Linked DNA regions of Rattus norvegicus. The protein of the gene in region 1 purifies or fractionates together with the protein of each later gene. This does not show direct contact. Links are inferred from orthologs where the notes say so. Each region holds a gene or a part of one and is shown on either strand. Other genes may lie near its edges.

Region 1 (7,799 bases):
AATAAAGACATAGGCCATGGTCTCGAAGACCAGATGGTACTGTGATGACAATAACTAACATCATTAAGACTTATCTTAATGCTGACCCGGATGCTAAGCACACTGCCTGTGATCTCAGTAAGTCCATAGAACAGGCCTGTAAGAGCGGCACCAGTAATATCTCCAACTGCAAATGAAAATAAATGAGAACAGTCAGAGTAAGTCTCCCAAGGCTAACTGGAGCTTAAAAAAAAGCAGACCCTAGATGTTAATAAGTATAAAATATGAATGTCTTTGCACTAGGGTATATGACAAAAAAATCAATGGAAAACTTTACACAGGAGTCTGGGAGGACAAAAAAAGACATTGCAAGATTCAATGAGGGTTTTTGTAGCTATATTCTCAGAATCAAAACACTCCTTTCCAGCAGGAGTCATAGGAAGCGTCAGGAAGTAATGAAATTTACAAGGCTCGAGAAGTAAACAAAAGTCACAAGTCTTGTTCTTGCGCTTTACACATTATATGAGCAGTTATCACATCAGTGGAGAAAGGAGACTCACTGTCTACAGATCACACAGACACCTCTCAGAGGGCTACTCTTATGAGTCATTACCCAGGCTGGTATGGCTACCCTCCCAATGGAGCCACCATACTCCTGTAAATAACTCCATTCAACCCACTAGTTAACTCAACTAGACTTGGGACAAAGAATTTTAATCTCCAAGGAAACTGCTCCACAGTAATGGATCCCAAGATTTTGTGTCTATGAAATCAGGTAACCTCTGTCCACAGTAAGTTTGTGGGAGGTGCATGCCACAGTATGTGTGTATGTTGGAAGACAACTTAGAGAAGTTGGTTCACTCATGTTACTGTGTGGGTTCTGGAGATCCGTGATCGAACTCAGATTATCGGGCTTGTTGGCAAACACCTTTATCTGCTGAGCCATCCCACCAACCTTCATGATAAATTTAAAATATAGCTACAGACTTTGAGCATATCGACAGGAAATTGAGAAAAAGAAAGCAGTTCTGAAGAGATGGTTCAGTGGTTAAGAACACTGGCTGCTAATTCCCAGCACCCATGTGGTCACACACAACTGTCTGTAACCCCAGTTCCAGGGGATCTGGCACCCTCACACAGACATAAATGCAGGCAAAACACCAATACACATTTTAAAAGAATATTTTTTAAAGCAATCTTAAAAAGACAGGCCCAACCACCAAAAAGCAAAAGAGTATTGAGTTTGAAAATTAAATAGAAAGATCATGAGAGGATGTGGGTGAAGTTGGGGAGGGAGGAAGGGATTCGATAAGATCAAAATATATTCTCTAATATTCTCAAGGAGTAAATAAAACTTATCTTAGAGAGAAAGGGGGTAGAAGTTCTCATGTGGGTAGAACTGTGTAAGGAAACTTTTGCTTACCTCTTGATTATGAAGCACCAGAGGCAAAGATACCAGCACGTTTCTTCATGCAGTCGTGTAACAATCAGTTCTTATTCATACCTACTGAAATCCCTTCCAAATACATGTCACTTAAATTCGGCAATTCTCTTTAGCTGTATCAAGAAGGTAGCATTAAGAGATTACAATAGGGACTATTCAACATTATAGGTAATTAACTGCTCTTTGAATTACTATGGGAACCATATGTAGAATATGACCAAAGACACAGCTAGAAACATACTCTGACTCAGATTATTGCAAAACCGTATGAGATTTTTGGCGAAGCTTGTAAAGAGCAGTGCCGCCCGTAAGTTACTATGCAACATTTACTGAGTACCCACCGCACAAAATATAAAATGCTAAGTCAACAGGAACAACATTGGAGGGAAAACCCTGAATTCCAGAGAGATTGTTGATGAAGCAGGTGCTGTGAACTGGATTGCTGGCATGCCAGAGAGGGTACCTCCATTAAGTTTTATTCTGTGGAGAAAGGGAGAAAGTTCTGGCAGTGGAAAGAATATGGGATGTTGAAAAAATGCCTAGGATTCAGTCATGTGGGAGCATGCAGCGTTGGTTAAATTACTGAACTTTGGTTTGGAGGTACAGTAATACTTGAGCACACACAATTGCCGGGAGCAATAAATAAAGCGAGGGTTTAGAAACTATAAAAGAGGAAATTGATATTGATTTGTCGCTCCTGAGAGTTTTGGCCAGACACTGTACTTTATTAACTTGCATACTGTCTCCATGGGTTTATCTTCAACTGGACACTTTCAGCTCCCTCGAGTGTCAGCTTCCTCTTCTGTTCTGCAAACGAACACTTTAGTAAGTCACTTAATGATAGTGTTTTTGGACCCAAATAGCTATTTGAACTCTTAAGGGCACTCTTACCTGTTATTTACACACAGCTGTCAGACTGACACTGCCAAGCATGTTCCGTTCATGTCGTGACACTGTCCGAATGCCTTCAATGGCTTCTCACTTTCTAATTATTAAAGTCTTAACTCCTAGCTAAATTCTAAGTCCTCCACAAACAAAGGGTAGTTTTCAGATGAATAGCACTCCTCGTACTTGGGAACCTGTAAGAAATATAGATTCTCTGGTCCACTCAGGTCTACTGAACTAGCAACTCAATTTTAACAATGTTTCTGGCTGCTTCTTGTGTCAGCTTTGACTTCATCCTTACTTTTTTTTTTTTTTTAATAATTGAAGCTTCAGTAGTAGAGCTGCCAGATTTAGCAAATAAAAATGAGACAGCCAGTAAAATGTGAAAACAATAAATAATGTTTTTAGAATGTTTCAAATCCTTCATAGGATATTTACCTAAAAATTGGTTGCATGAAATTGAAATTTCTAGTGAATGTCCTGTAAGTATTCTGGATAGCCAGTTCATGAGGGTACACATCCAAGGCTAACTTAACATTTTATTTCCTTCCAAGAGTACAATGCCTTCCCTAACTTAATGTCTAATTAATAGAGGTGAGCTTAAGAGCAGTTTCTCTGGGATTTAGGTTTGTCTGGGTTTTTTTTTTTCCTCCTTTTCTTATTCCTAAGAACTAGCACCAGGGCCTTCCTATTATAAAAGACCAATAAATAGTTTTGGATGAATAAATGAATATATCAAAAGTAATCTTTCAATTATGGACTGGATTGTGTGTGCCTATTTTAATTAAAACAGTATTTTTCCTAATACTTAAAAATGTTTTAAATTGGTACAGCTTTTCACATTTTTTGTTGGCAGCGTTCAGGACTTGGTGGGAACAAAGTCATGGGCTCAGAATGTACTCATCGCCAACCTGGTCCATATGGTCATCATTGGGTAGAGAAGGCACCAGAGCAGGATGACAGAAGATACCATAGCAATCCGACTTTGGAGGCGCTGCGCACGCGCACAGTGGCGCTCAGGCCTGCGATCAGGGGAGGGAGGCGGAGCTCTGGGGCGCGTGCGCGGCGGCTTGAGGAAGGCGGAGCTCCCGGGCGTGTGCGCAGTGGCTTGGATCCGGGAGGCGGAGCTCCGGGGCGCGTGCGCGGCGGCCTGGGCGGCGGGCCCCTCCCTTGGCGGGGGCGCGCGGCGCGGAAGACCGCACGGAAAGGGGGAAGTCAGGTGGCCGCTGCTGCCACCAGCGCCACGGTTTGTCGCCAGAAGGAAGATGGCGGATCTGGAGGAGCAGTTGTCCGATGAGGAGAAGGTAGGCGCCGCGGCGGTGAAGAGCAGGGCGGACGGGACCGAGAGCTGAGACGCAAGGGCTGGAATCTGACCCCGGGCGGGCTCTGGTGGTGGGCCGCACGCCTGCGCCTCTCGAGCGGGGTGCTGCCTCGGCTCCCGGAGGCCGGGCCCCTCCGCTCCTTGTAGGGTGTGTGCTCCGAAAATAGGAAGCGGAGCCGGGCGGCCGCGGGCCGGAGCGGGGGTGGCGGGACCGGGCCCTAGGGGTCCGGGCTGGGGAGCGGCCGACAGCGGAGCGGCGCCGCCTGGCCTGGGGCTTTCGCCGTGAGGCGGGCGGGAGGGGGAAACGGCTTAGCCGACCCTCACTTTTTCCTGCAGTTTCTCCTCCCCAACGCGAAGTGCTTCCTGGTTCTCCAGGGTGTTTCCTTCCCTCTGGAGGTCGCAGTTTCTACATCCCGCCCCCTTTCCCTCCAACCCCCTGCCATCCATTTCTTTTATTAATATTGTCATTACCTTTTTTTTTTTTAATTGCTGCTCCCATGTTCCCCGGAAGGCAGTATTGTTCACAAAGACACCTCCCCCCAATAGTTGTTTTCTGTCCAACTTGGCCGCTTCCCCCCCTTGGGGCAGATTTGGTGACATCCCATCTTCCTGATAGGACCAACTCCGAAGAGGGCGAGCGGGTGCAACTCCTTTTACTGTGTGTTAAATGCTGTGACAGCACTGGGACCAAATGCAGGACTCAAGTTCTCACATTTGTGATACGAAATCTGATTGAACTGAGACTCTTGCCCATTTTCTTTGGCGACTGAGGGCGACCTCATACCTAGGGGCGAGTACTGTGAGGGGAACTCTATACATTTTGAATATTTTCTGGAAAAGACCGAGACGTTTTTTGAAACTTAAGACTTGACTGACATGAGTGTGGTGCACTTTGGAAATGTCTGACCTTAGCTTAGTTTTTAAGTTCCAGATAAAGTACACCGGTGTGGGAAACATACTCAATTTTAGTTGGGTGTTAGAGAACCACTAAGGGTAGATAACCTAACAAAATGGGGGCAAACATACTTTAATTCACAGAGTTAGACTCTTAAGTCCATAAAAGTTGCTGTACAGTAACATTGAATAGTGTTAAGCTGTTAATTGAAAATATACCAGTGCACACTACAGGAAAAATAATGTTTGAAAGTTCTTGGAGGGATTTTTTTTCATGTTTTGTTTTCTTTCATGTACTTTTTAAGCGCTCAATTGACTTGGAAGATAGTGAGAAGAGAATTCTTAGGGTGGGATTCACATTCAGATTTTATAACAGTATTTTCTAAATTGAAGAAATCAGTGGCTTAACTTTCTAGTGAAATTTAAATAACCCAGTAAATTGAAAACAGTGTTCTTGTCACTTTTATTACCCAGTAGACTTGTACTGTTTTAGAAGGAGGGTGTTCCATATGGATCAGAAATGGATTCAATTGTAATATTTAAGACCAGTTCTTAAATCATGCTTCTCTATTGTTATTTCCTTGCTTGTGATTTTCAGGAGTAAGTTTTAAATACTTTTTACACTTGAGTTTTTGTTTAGATTTTAGGTCTAAAGAAGGGGAGGTACTATGATGTGTAATACTGTAGTTTGTATGTGCTTATCACATAAGAAAAATAGGTTGCATTTTCTTTTTTAAGTTTGAAGTAGATAGTTTTATTACCCTTTACCTGTAAGTAAATTAAGATTTTAAAAGCCTTATATAGGAGGGAAATGGCAGAGGTGAACTTTAAACCTAAGTTTGTCAGAATTCAGGTTTGCTTGCATACTTAATGACATTATGTTCCCTTGAAGTTGATTGTAGAACTATCCTGGTTTTATATCTTGGTTTTCAATTTGTTTATTTTTAAAAAGGAAGCAGTGGTTCTTTGTAGGTTCTAAATTTATGTTTTATACTTAGTGAAAATGTTAACTGGTAAACTTCTGTTTTCATCACTTTTAAAAAGAAGTTTATTTTTATGTAATGTGAACATTGTGTGCTGCTGCTTTATAGTTTCTTACTGGTCCTGTGAGATGAGACATTTTAGAAATTCGTAGTTGGGTGTGGCAGAGCAGATTTGTAATCTAAGTACTGAGGAAACTGGGGCTGGAGGATCTCTAGGTCTGAGGCCAGCCTATAGAAAGCAACAACAGAAAGAGATTGACTGGGCGTTGTAGGCATACCTGTAATCCCACTACCCTGAAGGCTGATCAGGAGGAAAAAGTTTCAGTCCGACCAAGTTTAGCTTGATTTTCTGAGTTACGAGCCAGTCAGAGCTACACAGGGAAACTCTCTCTCAAAAACAAACAAACAGAAGGGGGAAAGTATCTAGGACACTAGGCTGAATGTACTGTGATTTTTATGGCTTAATTTCTTTTGGCCACAGTGTTAATAAGGAAGTAAATTTAGCTGAAGAAACTATGAAGTTCCTTAACAGCATTAATTTGTCATAGTGTGACTCTGTAAATTTTACATAGTTATAGAAACTCCAAGCCAGAAAGAGTTTTTCTTTCTTATTCTTTCTTAGTTCATTTGAATTGTATAATAAAGCATTTTCGTGAATTTGACACTGTATGAAATTGTTATATAGAGCTCAAAGAGAACCATTCTCAAACTCTGCTGAAGGAGGACAGTAATAGTTGAGAGAGTTTTCTCCCTGGACCAGTGAGCACACTTCTATGGCGGCTGCTCTTGGTACTGCAGCATTAGTGAGCCTGGAACAGTATATCGAGTGGAGGATGACCTTGAACTTTTGGTCCTCCTACTTGTACCATGCACTCTGTCTTGCTGAGTTTAAAGCTGGGGATGAAGCCTGGACTTTGTCAAGCCTCCTTCCAACTAAGCTTTATCTCTGGCCCCCTCCATTTCTATACATCCCTGTTCTCATTGCTGTAGTCACGTAGGTCCTATATTTCAAGTTTGCTTTGTTAAATTCTTTTCTGCTTGACCTGTACCTTAGAGCAAAATTTTGTCATCTTTATGATCATGATCAAAAATGTCTTACACAAATAATTTGTTTCTTGTTTGTAAAAAATAATTATGTTAGTATTGAGTTCATAATCTCTGGGTTGACAAGATTATCAGGTTGTAACAGAATTTCACCAATCAAATAGTACAGTTAGGTCAATAGTAGCATTTAAGAAAGAAATAAAAATTAAAGTTAAGAGACCTAGAAATTGTGTCAGATCTGTTTTTTCCTTTCTGTTGCATTCGCTATGGGCAAGTGTGTGTGTGTGTGTGTGTGTGTGTGTGTGTGTGTGTGTGTGTGTGTGTGTGTGTGTGTTGGGGGGGCGTTTGTAGATTAATTCCTCTGGCTACTTATATTCAAACTATTCTTTTCTATAGTCTCAAAAAATACCAGTGCCTAGTGCTTGGCATGATGATGCACCTCTCCAACCCCCACACTCAGGGAGCTTGGAGCCATCCCAAACTAGTGGCTTTGTATTCCTTTCTACTTGGAAAATTGTGACACTTTTCATATATGCTGTTTAATCATGCTCTGGTCCTTTTCTAACATCTTGAGTAGGTTTATCTCTTGGCCTTAGGTTCTGCTGAACTTTGTGAATATATTTGTAAATATGAGTAGTAATTGGCTCTTCAGAGGACTTGTGTTCAATTCCCAGCACCCACATGGAAACTCACAACTTTTTGTAACTCTGGTTCCGGGGTTCCAACACCCTCACATAGAAACACATGTAGGCAAAACACCAGTGAACATAAAATAAAAACAAGTCATTTTTTAAAAAGATAGAAATGTTATTCTTGCAATTCAGTTCAGATTATTGGCTCATTTAATCTCTCTTGAACTTAATAAATCATCATTGGTACTAAGTACAATTTTTTTTTAATGCTCTCTGGTTTACTTTTCTTCCTTGTTCTATAAGTACAGAAGTGATGTCATCCATAGCACCTGCCAGTACCCTGCATGCAACTAGTAAAATGGTTCAGTGAGTAAATAAATGAATAGCCTATAGTTCACAGAGTTGAAAGAAAACCTGTGTCATGAAGAATAAAAGCATATAATGTCAGATTTTTCTATGGAAATCTAGCTGTCTTAATTTTTTTTTTCCTAAATTTTGCCATTGGTTTTTAGAGTCTATTAATCCCTGGTGTTTTGTGAGGTACAGGTGTTTGCAGTTCAAATGCTAAATGTAATTTATATATGAGCAGCTTAAAATATTTTCCCCTCCTATAATAT
Region 2 (7,799 bases), on another chromosome or scaffold:
TCATTGGTAGAGTGCTTGCCTAGCATGCCCGAAGCCTGTGTCTGATACCCAACACTGCAAAAATAACTGAAACAGACTTCCCAGAAAGAGGCTATATAAACCAAATCCTGCTGATTTCCCTCCAGTTCTTTGAGTTGGTATATGTTTTACCTTCAGTCCATCTGGAAGTTGGTCCATATGGTTTCCTTAGCTTTGTTCTCTTTTCTTTGGAAGATCCTGGAAGTTTTAACTTCGCGCCCCGCCTGTTCATCCTCAGCAGCTCCTCAGGAGACTTCTCAGCGACAGAGTTCGTGTACCCCGCGCGAGCGCCCTCTGCCGTCAGCTCCATGCCTTTCCTGCAGGAGGATCTGTACAGCGCGCCGCAGCCAGGTAAGCCCTGCAGAGGGCGTGGTCGCGTAGCACCTTCCGGGAAGCCTTTCCTTCTCTTTGTAAACAATTCCTATTTGCCAACTATACTAGCAGGCTTGCTTAGGGCATCTCCTTTTATCCACCCACCGCAAAAGAAAACAAGAAAATCAGCCGCGTAGTTTTGTATCAGGAACTGAACTCAGTTACTTCCTACATCAAAGAGCAGTTGACAGTGCCACGTGGCATCCTTACCATTCTCCCAGCCTTCCTCTCCAACGTTCTGCTTCATGGTCCCTTGTGAGCCGCCCTTGCTCCAGCTCCAGCTCTCATGTTTGTATTCAAAACTGAGGAAACAGGAAAGGGGGAGTTTCTTACATCCCTCTAGCTCCAGTAAACGTTTCAGCTTTATCCCATTGGCCAGAAGATGTCATGTGGTCACTCCAGCTACAAAGGATTCTGGAAAAGCAAGTGGCCAAGGAAGAACTTGGGCAAGCCCTCAGCAGAGCTAAGACTGCAGACCTGGTTTCCCAATTCCAAGATCAGTAGTGTTCTCACCAAGTCACACCTTAATACTCAAACCTATGCAAAGGAAATGAGCTCTGTAGGCCCTCCCACCTTCCTGCCAATCAAGCCTATGAGCTCATAGTTGGCCAAAGCCTGGAGCCTTATTTTACAGTAGTTTCCCTACCACTAGCTCAGATCTTGTCTGATGCATACATAACACTATGGGCACACTATGGGCAGCAGCCACGAGTATCTAAAAGAGAAAGCTACTCCCTGTCCTTGCATTCCTGGGCTCTGGATGGATCAGCAACAACCACTGGCTTTTAAAGCAATCCCAAAATGCACATCAAGAGGGTCCTTGGGGCCACTGAGATGACAAGTTGGAAAGCATTTGCCACACAAAACAAGAGTCAGGTGGAGGCTTAAAGACAAGGAGGTAGAGCCAGGAGGATTCTGTTCAAAGTTCACGTCCTTGTCAAAGAACTGTCACTCCTCAGAGCATCATGGGGGTTGAGGGCAAACCAAATGTGAGCTCTTTGGAGACCAGAGGTAGCTAACATCAGAGCCCTGAGCATTTGAAAAGGCCACCAGCAATCTGTGGATGATCTGGGAAAGGGAGGTCTGCAAAGAGGCTTGGGTCACCTTCCACATGCTGCTTGGGACCGTCAGAGTTTAAGCTCAGGGCTGAGTGTGCAGAGAAGCCATCACTCTGAACCAAGGGAGAGGGATGTGAGCACAGCCGGTAGAGCAGCAGGGCTCTGTGAAGGAATCCCTGATGGTCCCGTTCTGCTCTTACCTAACAGCTCTCTTCCTTGTTGACAACCATCACGAGGTGTACCTCTGGCAAGGCTGGTGGCCCACCGAAAACAAGATAACCGGCTCTGCTCGCATTCGCTGGGCCTCAGACCGGAAGAGCGCCATGGAGACAGTCCTGCAGTACTGCCGAGGTGAGGGGTGGAAGGCCACCACAGACCTAGCCATGTTCCTTCTGAGTCTCCCGCAGCCATGACAAGGCTCCAGCACTCCCCTTAAACCGCTGGAGGCTTGTCGATCTTAAGATCAGTACATTCTGCCACCAGAACAAAGGAAAGTCCGTCTTTCCCTTTCAAACAGCAGGGCCACCCACATAGTATATTGTGGAACCACCTGCACTGACACCACTCTGAACATGGGGGTAAGTGGCTAAGTGACCTTCATGGCACAGTTCTCTCTTCAGGCAGTGCCAGCATTAGAGAAGGGAAATGTGCCCAAACTGGCTAAACGCCAATACCAGCCTCTTTTTTTTTTTTTTGGTATTGTATCCAATGATAACAACAAAACAACCAAAACATAGTTTCTTAATTAACATCTACATGGAATCCGGCCTTTTACAGAAAGCGCGTACCAGTAACTAATGTAAGCGGGTACCAGTGACTAATGTCCTGACTGCATGCCGATAGTTTACTGGCTCCCTTAATGCCCTGGAGTGTGTACGGTTGGTTCTTGCCATGGAGAGCTCTTTGTGGCATCTTTCAAATCCCACCAAATGCTCAGGCATCTGAAAGGTGCTGCCGTTGCCCGTCACGTGCTCTTGAAGCTCCTCCAGGGGAATGAAAGGGAAGCAGACGTCCCTGGTGGGAGTTTCTAGACAGCTCTCTGTCCCCCCAGAGGTTCATAAACGCTTTGCCAGATTGGAGGGGGGTTTACATCAGTGCATCTGCATCGTATAAACATGAGTCACCTTTCAGATAAACAGCACCCATGCGTTGTTATGATGCACATTTAAACATGGAAGAAAAATGGGAGGAGCCTGAGAAAAAGCAGGACAGACTCCACTGACATGCGCATTCTGTGTCCCCACAGGAAAGAATCTCAAAAGGCCACCCCCCAAGTCTTACCTTATCCATGCTGGGCTAGAGCCCCTGACGTTCACTAACATGTTTCCCAGCTGGGAACACAGAGAAGACATTGCCGAAATCACAGAAATGGTGAGCCCGGGGCTCCAAGGACTATGGGCATTGCAGCTGCCTTATTCAGTCTAAGGTCAAGACAGAGGTTGTCCCAGGATCCCTGCACTTCCTGTAGCTCATCGGGCGTGGCAGGGACTTGGGGGGACGGTGTATAACAGTGACGGCTCACTGCGTACTGCCTTGGCAAGGCCACAGCACCTTTTCATTTCATTACCAGGACAGTGCAGTAGGGTTCATCTTACTATTGTCTCCATTTTTACCCGTGTCAGAGCTGAGGCATAAAACACTTAAAACACATAAAACACTTGCCTCCAATCTCTGAGTCGCCAAGTGAGGGGTGATTCACGGGTGCAGGCTCAGCTCCTCACCCACTTCTCCCTGAGATTCGGCCCCATAGCTTGAACCTGAGCTTGAACTCATGCACCATCCAAGAACCCAGAGGAGGCAGCATTTCCCAGACCCAAGTATAAGAGATCAAGATAGCTTCCCCAGAATATCTCTCCCCCTTCTGTGGTGTGTGTGTGTGTGTGTGTGTGTGTGTGTGTGTGTGTGTGTGTGTGTGTGTATCCCAGGGCCTTTTGCATTTTAGGCATTTACTCCCCTCCTTAGCTAAACCCTTACCCTTACTTTCTTTATGTCTCATGTGGACTAAGAAATGAATCCTAGGGGAAGGGGAGAGGGCATGATTTCTTTTGAATGTGATAATTTTAAAATATATTCAAACAAATTCCACTATGTGCAAGCATCTAATGGTTTGATTTTAGGCCCAATAATCTTTCTCTGTTGTTCATTCATGGAGTCTGAGTCCCTAAACATTCATGCATGCATTCGTCCTTTCACTCTTTTGGAAGCAGTTCAGAAAGAGGTTTGATTTGAAACCTGCTGCAGGGAGAAAGGCTATGAAGACTAGAAGGTAATTCCTGGACATCTAGGCCCCCCACTGCACAGTGGCCTGATGCCTTACTCAGACCTCCCCGGGCTGTGCATAGATGGGGCATAGCTGGGAGTCTGCATGCAATCCATAGATAGCACTCGTCTGCTCAAATGTTCTATGCTTTGTCTCCAGGACACTGAAGTTTCCAACCAGATCACCCTGGTGGAAGACGTCTTAGCCAAGCTGTGTAAAACCATCTATCCTCTGGCAGATCTACTTGCCAGGCCACTCCCAGAGGGGGTAGACCCTCTAAAGCTTGAGATTTATCTTACAGATGAAGACTTCGAGGTGAGTGACCCTCGAGTGGGATGACACAGTGGGAGAGCATCCTTTCAGTCAGTCACTCACTGGGCATCTCTCGAATCTCTTCCAGTTTGCACTCGACATGACCAGAGATGAATTCAACGCACTGCCCACCTGGAAGCAAATGAACCTGAAGAAAGCGAAAGGCCTGTTCTGAGGGTGAGATGACAGCCACAGAGAGGTCACTGCCACTAGACCAGAAAGTGGATGGAGATATATATTTGGACTGGTGTTTTTTTCTGTCAGAGAAGAAAGTATTTTTGACTCAGAGTTTTTCAAAACCTGACCTTATTCGCTCTATGGCTTGTCCCGGAGTTGAGCATTCTGTAAATGTCCAGGAGTACTCTTCGGAGCGTTCTTTTCCACAGTTCAGGTGAACTGAAAAGAAAGCGTCTCTTCCGTTCCCCTCAGCCGAGTGCTGCCTCAGTGGCCGCTGCAGCCCTACCCTCCTCTTCCAGCTCAGCGTTGCCTTTTTTAAAGCAATTTTCTTTATAAAGTGTTATTTTGATAGTTTGTGAATTCTAAATATATATATATATATTTATATAAACACCATATAAAGCAACTATGTATTTAACAAGCTATGTATTCATTCACTTGCAACTGTTCCCTTTGGTGTCAAAAGGACATTACCAAGTGTAGGGCTGTGTCACTTCTGTTGACCTAGGCCTGCCACCAGTCTCTCCCAGGCTCAGGACTGCCTCCTCAGCCTTAGGTCTGGCTTGTGCCGAGTTCTGCTTCCGGTGCTAAAGCGAGCAAAGACTTTGTACTACTTCCCGGTGTGACTCTGAAGAATCTATCTGAATCAACCTTTCTACCTTAATGTCCCCCCCGGAAGTGTATAGTGCCTTGTTTTATGTACAGTTTATATACAGAAAAGTTTGCTCTGCTCTTTTGATGCCGGCTTGGAACCTTATCTACAGTTTTATTCTCAGTAGAGATAAAAACATCTCAATTTCTCATACCCATTGTAAACATTACACACGTCATTTTGTGACACAGGATCCCAAAAATAAAATTTCAGAGTAATCACAACTCATTGATCAGTTTACATTGAATTCCGTACCTGTTCTTTTGTGTGTGGGGGTGGGGGGAGAAATTCTGTAGCTGTCAATCAAGTCCCAGTGTGATGCATTGATACCAACTGCTGAGGCCGGAGCACAGCACAGAGCAGGAGTTTTCCGGGACGGTGTAAGGTTAGGTAGACCTGTAAATTTGCCGTAAACGTTGCGCATGTTCTCAATGCCACAGATGCATCCCTGCTTGTATTAAGATCTCAGTGCCTTTTCTCCAAGCATGACTGGATGTGTGAGGTGTTAAAGTGTAAGCTGTGGATGGGACCAGGGTAGGTGGCTCAGTGGGGAGCGCTCGCTTGGCATGTGGGAGGCTCAGGTTCAATGCCCAGCACTGATAGAAATTGAAAAGAGACAAAACCATGAGTGCTGCGAATGGGCCGTGAGTTGTTACACCCTGCCTGCCGCTGCTCCGTCTAGTTTAACATGTATTAACTTCCCAGCCCGCTTCCATGCCCTACTGTGGGACAGTACCAAGGCTGGAGCCTGTCGGCTGCTCCTGGACCCACAGCTTTATGACTGTGTGATACTGTCCAGTCACCAAACATCCCTGCCTTCCTTTCCTAAGAAAGGAGACAGCCTGTGTCCCCCAGCATCACAGATCTTTGGACAGAGATGGAGGAGATAAGCTTTGAAAATTGTCCAGTGCCTTGGACCTTCTGGTGCTGATGCTGTTGTGACAGGAGATGAAATAGCACAGAGGTGAAGTAAAAGGATGGAGTCATGCACCCAGACATGACGGAAAGGGGAGGACTCAAAGTGCATCTTCCAAATAGCAGCAAAGGAGGAATGTTTGCAGCCATTAGAACAATCTGAAGAGGGTCACAGAGAGACAGGTCTGCCGGCATCTGCAGCCAGCTTGGGAAGAGGACAGCATAAAGCCAGTGTCCCTGCTGCTTAGGAGACAGAGGAATATACCGTGGTCTGTTTCTTTCCACATTCCCTCCCCAGAGCCTCTCATCCAATGCTGATACCCTTTCCTCCTCTGCAGGCGCTTTGTGGACACAGAGTACCCACCCAGGTTAATATTCTTCATCTGGTCACGTTGACACCTGGACTTGACTGTCCCTGAGAGTGACAGCAGGGGCTAGGTCCCTGTCATCAGCACATCCCTCATAGCCAGGTTGTTCAAAGTGCTCTAAACTCTTGTGTCAGCACCTGTACCCAACATCATTCAGCAGTCATGAGCCATCATCCTGATGTTGGCCTCTGAATGAACACCTCCCCGGACCCCAGCTCACTGTCTCTATCCCTCTTTTAGGATCAGACCCTTCTGGGTCAACATTTTCAAAATCCTCTCATAGCTTCATGAACTTTAATTTATCTCAAGATGACTTAGAACACCTAAAACCTAGAAGAGCTGTACATGTTGAGTTCAACTAAGTCAGTATCTGTGGTTGAATGGATCTGTGGATGTGAAACATGGATACCTATATGTGTGTGTGCATGTGTATGTATGTGTATGTCTATATGTGTGTGTCTATATGTATGTATATATGCGTATGTGTATGTGTACATGTATATATTATATATGTATATAATGTTTGCGTGTGTGTGCATGTGTGAAAATCAGAGGTGAACATCAGGTCTCCACTCACTCTGCACCTTAGTTTTGAGACAAATTCCCTTAGCTTGGAGTTCACTGATGAGGCTAGACTGACAGTCCAGTGAACTTTGGGGATCCTCCTGTCTCAGCCTCCCCAGCTCTGGGATCCTAAGCATGTGTTGCTAAACACTTCTTTTTACATGAGTGCTGGGATCTAAACTCAGGTCACTGTGCTGCTGCCATAAGCACTTAACTGACTGAGACGTCTCCCCATGCAGACGCCATGCTTTTAAAAAGTAAATGCACGGCTCCACACACGTGCTCGGCTCTGCTCCGTCAGAAGCAGGCTGTCAAGGTGATTCACACCTCAGGCCACAGATATACCCAAGGATGAGATCAAAAGTCACTGGAAAAAGTCTGCTCCTATGAGCATGTTACAGATCTGATGTCCCTGCTAGACTGGGGACCAGCCACTGGTCTCACATTGCTCATCCCTGAGGACAGATTGAGAAAGAAAGGTAACAGCCCAGTGTCCTCACATGTAGTAATGAACAGGCACTCTCCTCAGTGTCTCTGCTTCACTACTAAGATTAAGAAGAAATCCCCAAAGCCAAATTTGGTGGCGCAGAGTTGTGGTCTCAGCACACAGGAGGTGGAGGCGGAAGGATCATGAGTTCAAGGCCAGCCTGACATCTATGGTAAGACTGTGATTTGGGGAACCCAGAATGGATGCAATATCAACTGACAGAAGCAGTGTCCAGCACATCCCCGCCTTGCATTCTCTCACTGTCTCTCAGAGCTGGGTAAAATGTTCTGGACATTCGATGCCATGGGTCTCTGGGAGTCCCTTGTGGATGACGTTAGAACGGATTCGTATGTCTGGAAACTATCATAAACTGCTACTAATCTTTGTAATGTAGGCGTCATCCCAGGCTCCTGTGCCTCAGTCACATCCACAGCACAGGGCGGTGAGAACTCGCCCCTATGCTACACAAGCATGAAAGACCACTGCAGAGCCTTGTGCTGACTCACAGTAACTGCTGAACAGGGCAAGAAAGGCACAACCTTGGAAATTCTTAGTCCACTTAAATTGGACCATTTAGTGACTTGGGTCACAGGAGAAGGTTAAGTGCCCACTGATG

What was found. The genes of interacting proteins can lie anywhere in the genome.
Region 2: the proteins of Capza2 (region 1) and Svil purify together in Homo sapiens (affinity purification with mass spectrometry; 3 studies listed by BioGRID and IntAct, counting the BioPlex papers as one, with this or other methods). This does not show direct contact. The link is inferred for Rattus norvegicus from reciprocal best matches to the Homo sapiens genes CAPZA2 and SVIL.

The regions. Positions count from the first base shown.
Region 1 is NC_086022.1:46,940,524-46,948,322, forward strand, and holds the start of Capza2 (F-actin-capping protein subunit alpha-2), read left to right. Parts: upstream 1-3,516; 5' UTR 3,517-3,573; coding exon 3,574-3,612; intron 3,613-7,799. UniProt on the Homo sapiens protein: F-actin-capping proteins bind in a Ca(2+)-independent manner to the fast growing ends of actin filaments (barbed end) thereby blocking the exchange of subunits at these ends.
Region 2 is NC_086035.1:57,341,207-57,349,005, reverse strand, and holds the end of Svil (supervillin), read left to right. Parts: intron 1-213; coding exon 214-369; intron 370-1,655; coding exon 1,656-1,799; intron 1,800-2,694; coding exon 2,695-2,819; intron 2,820-3,867; coding exon 3,868-4,023; intron 4,024-4,108; coding exon 4,109-4,195; 3' UTR 4,196-5,096; downstream 5,097-7,799.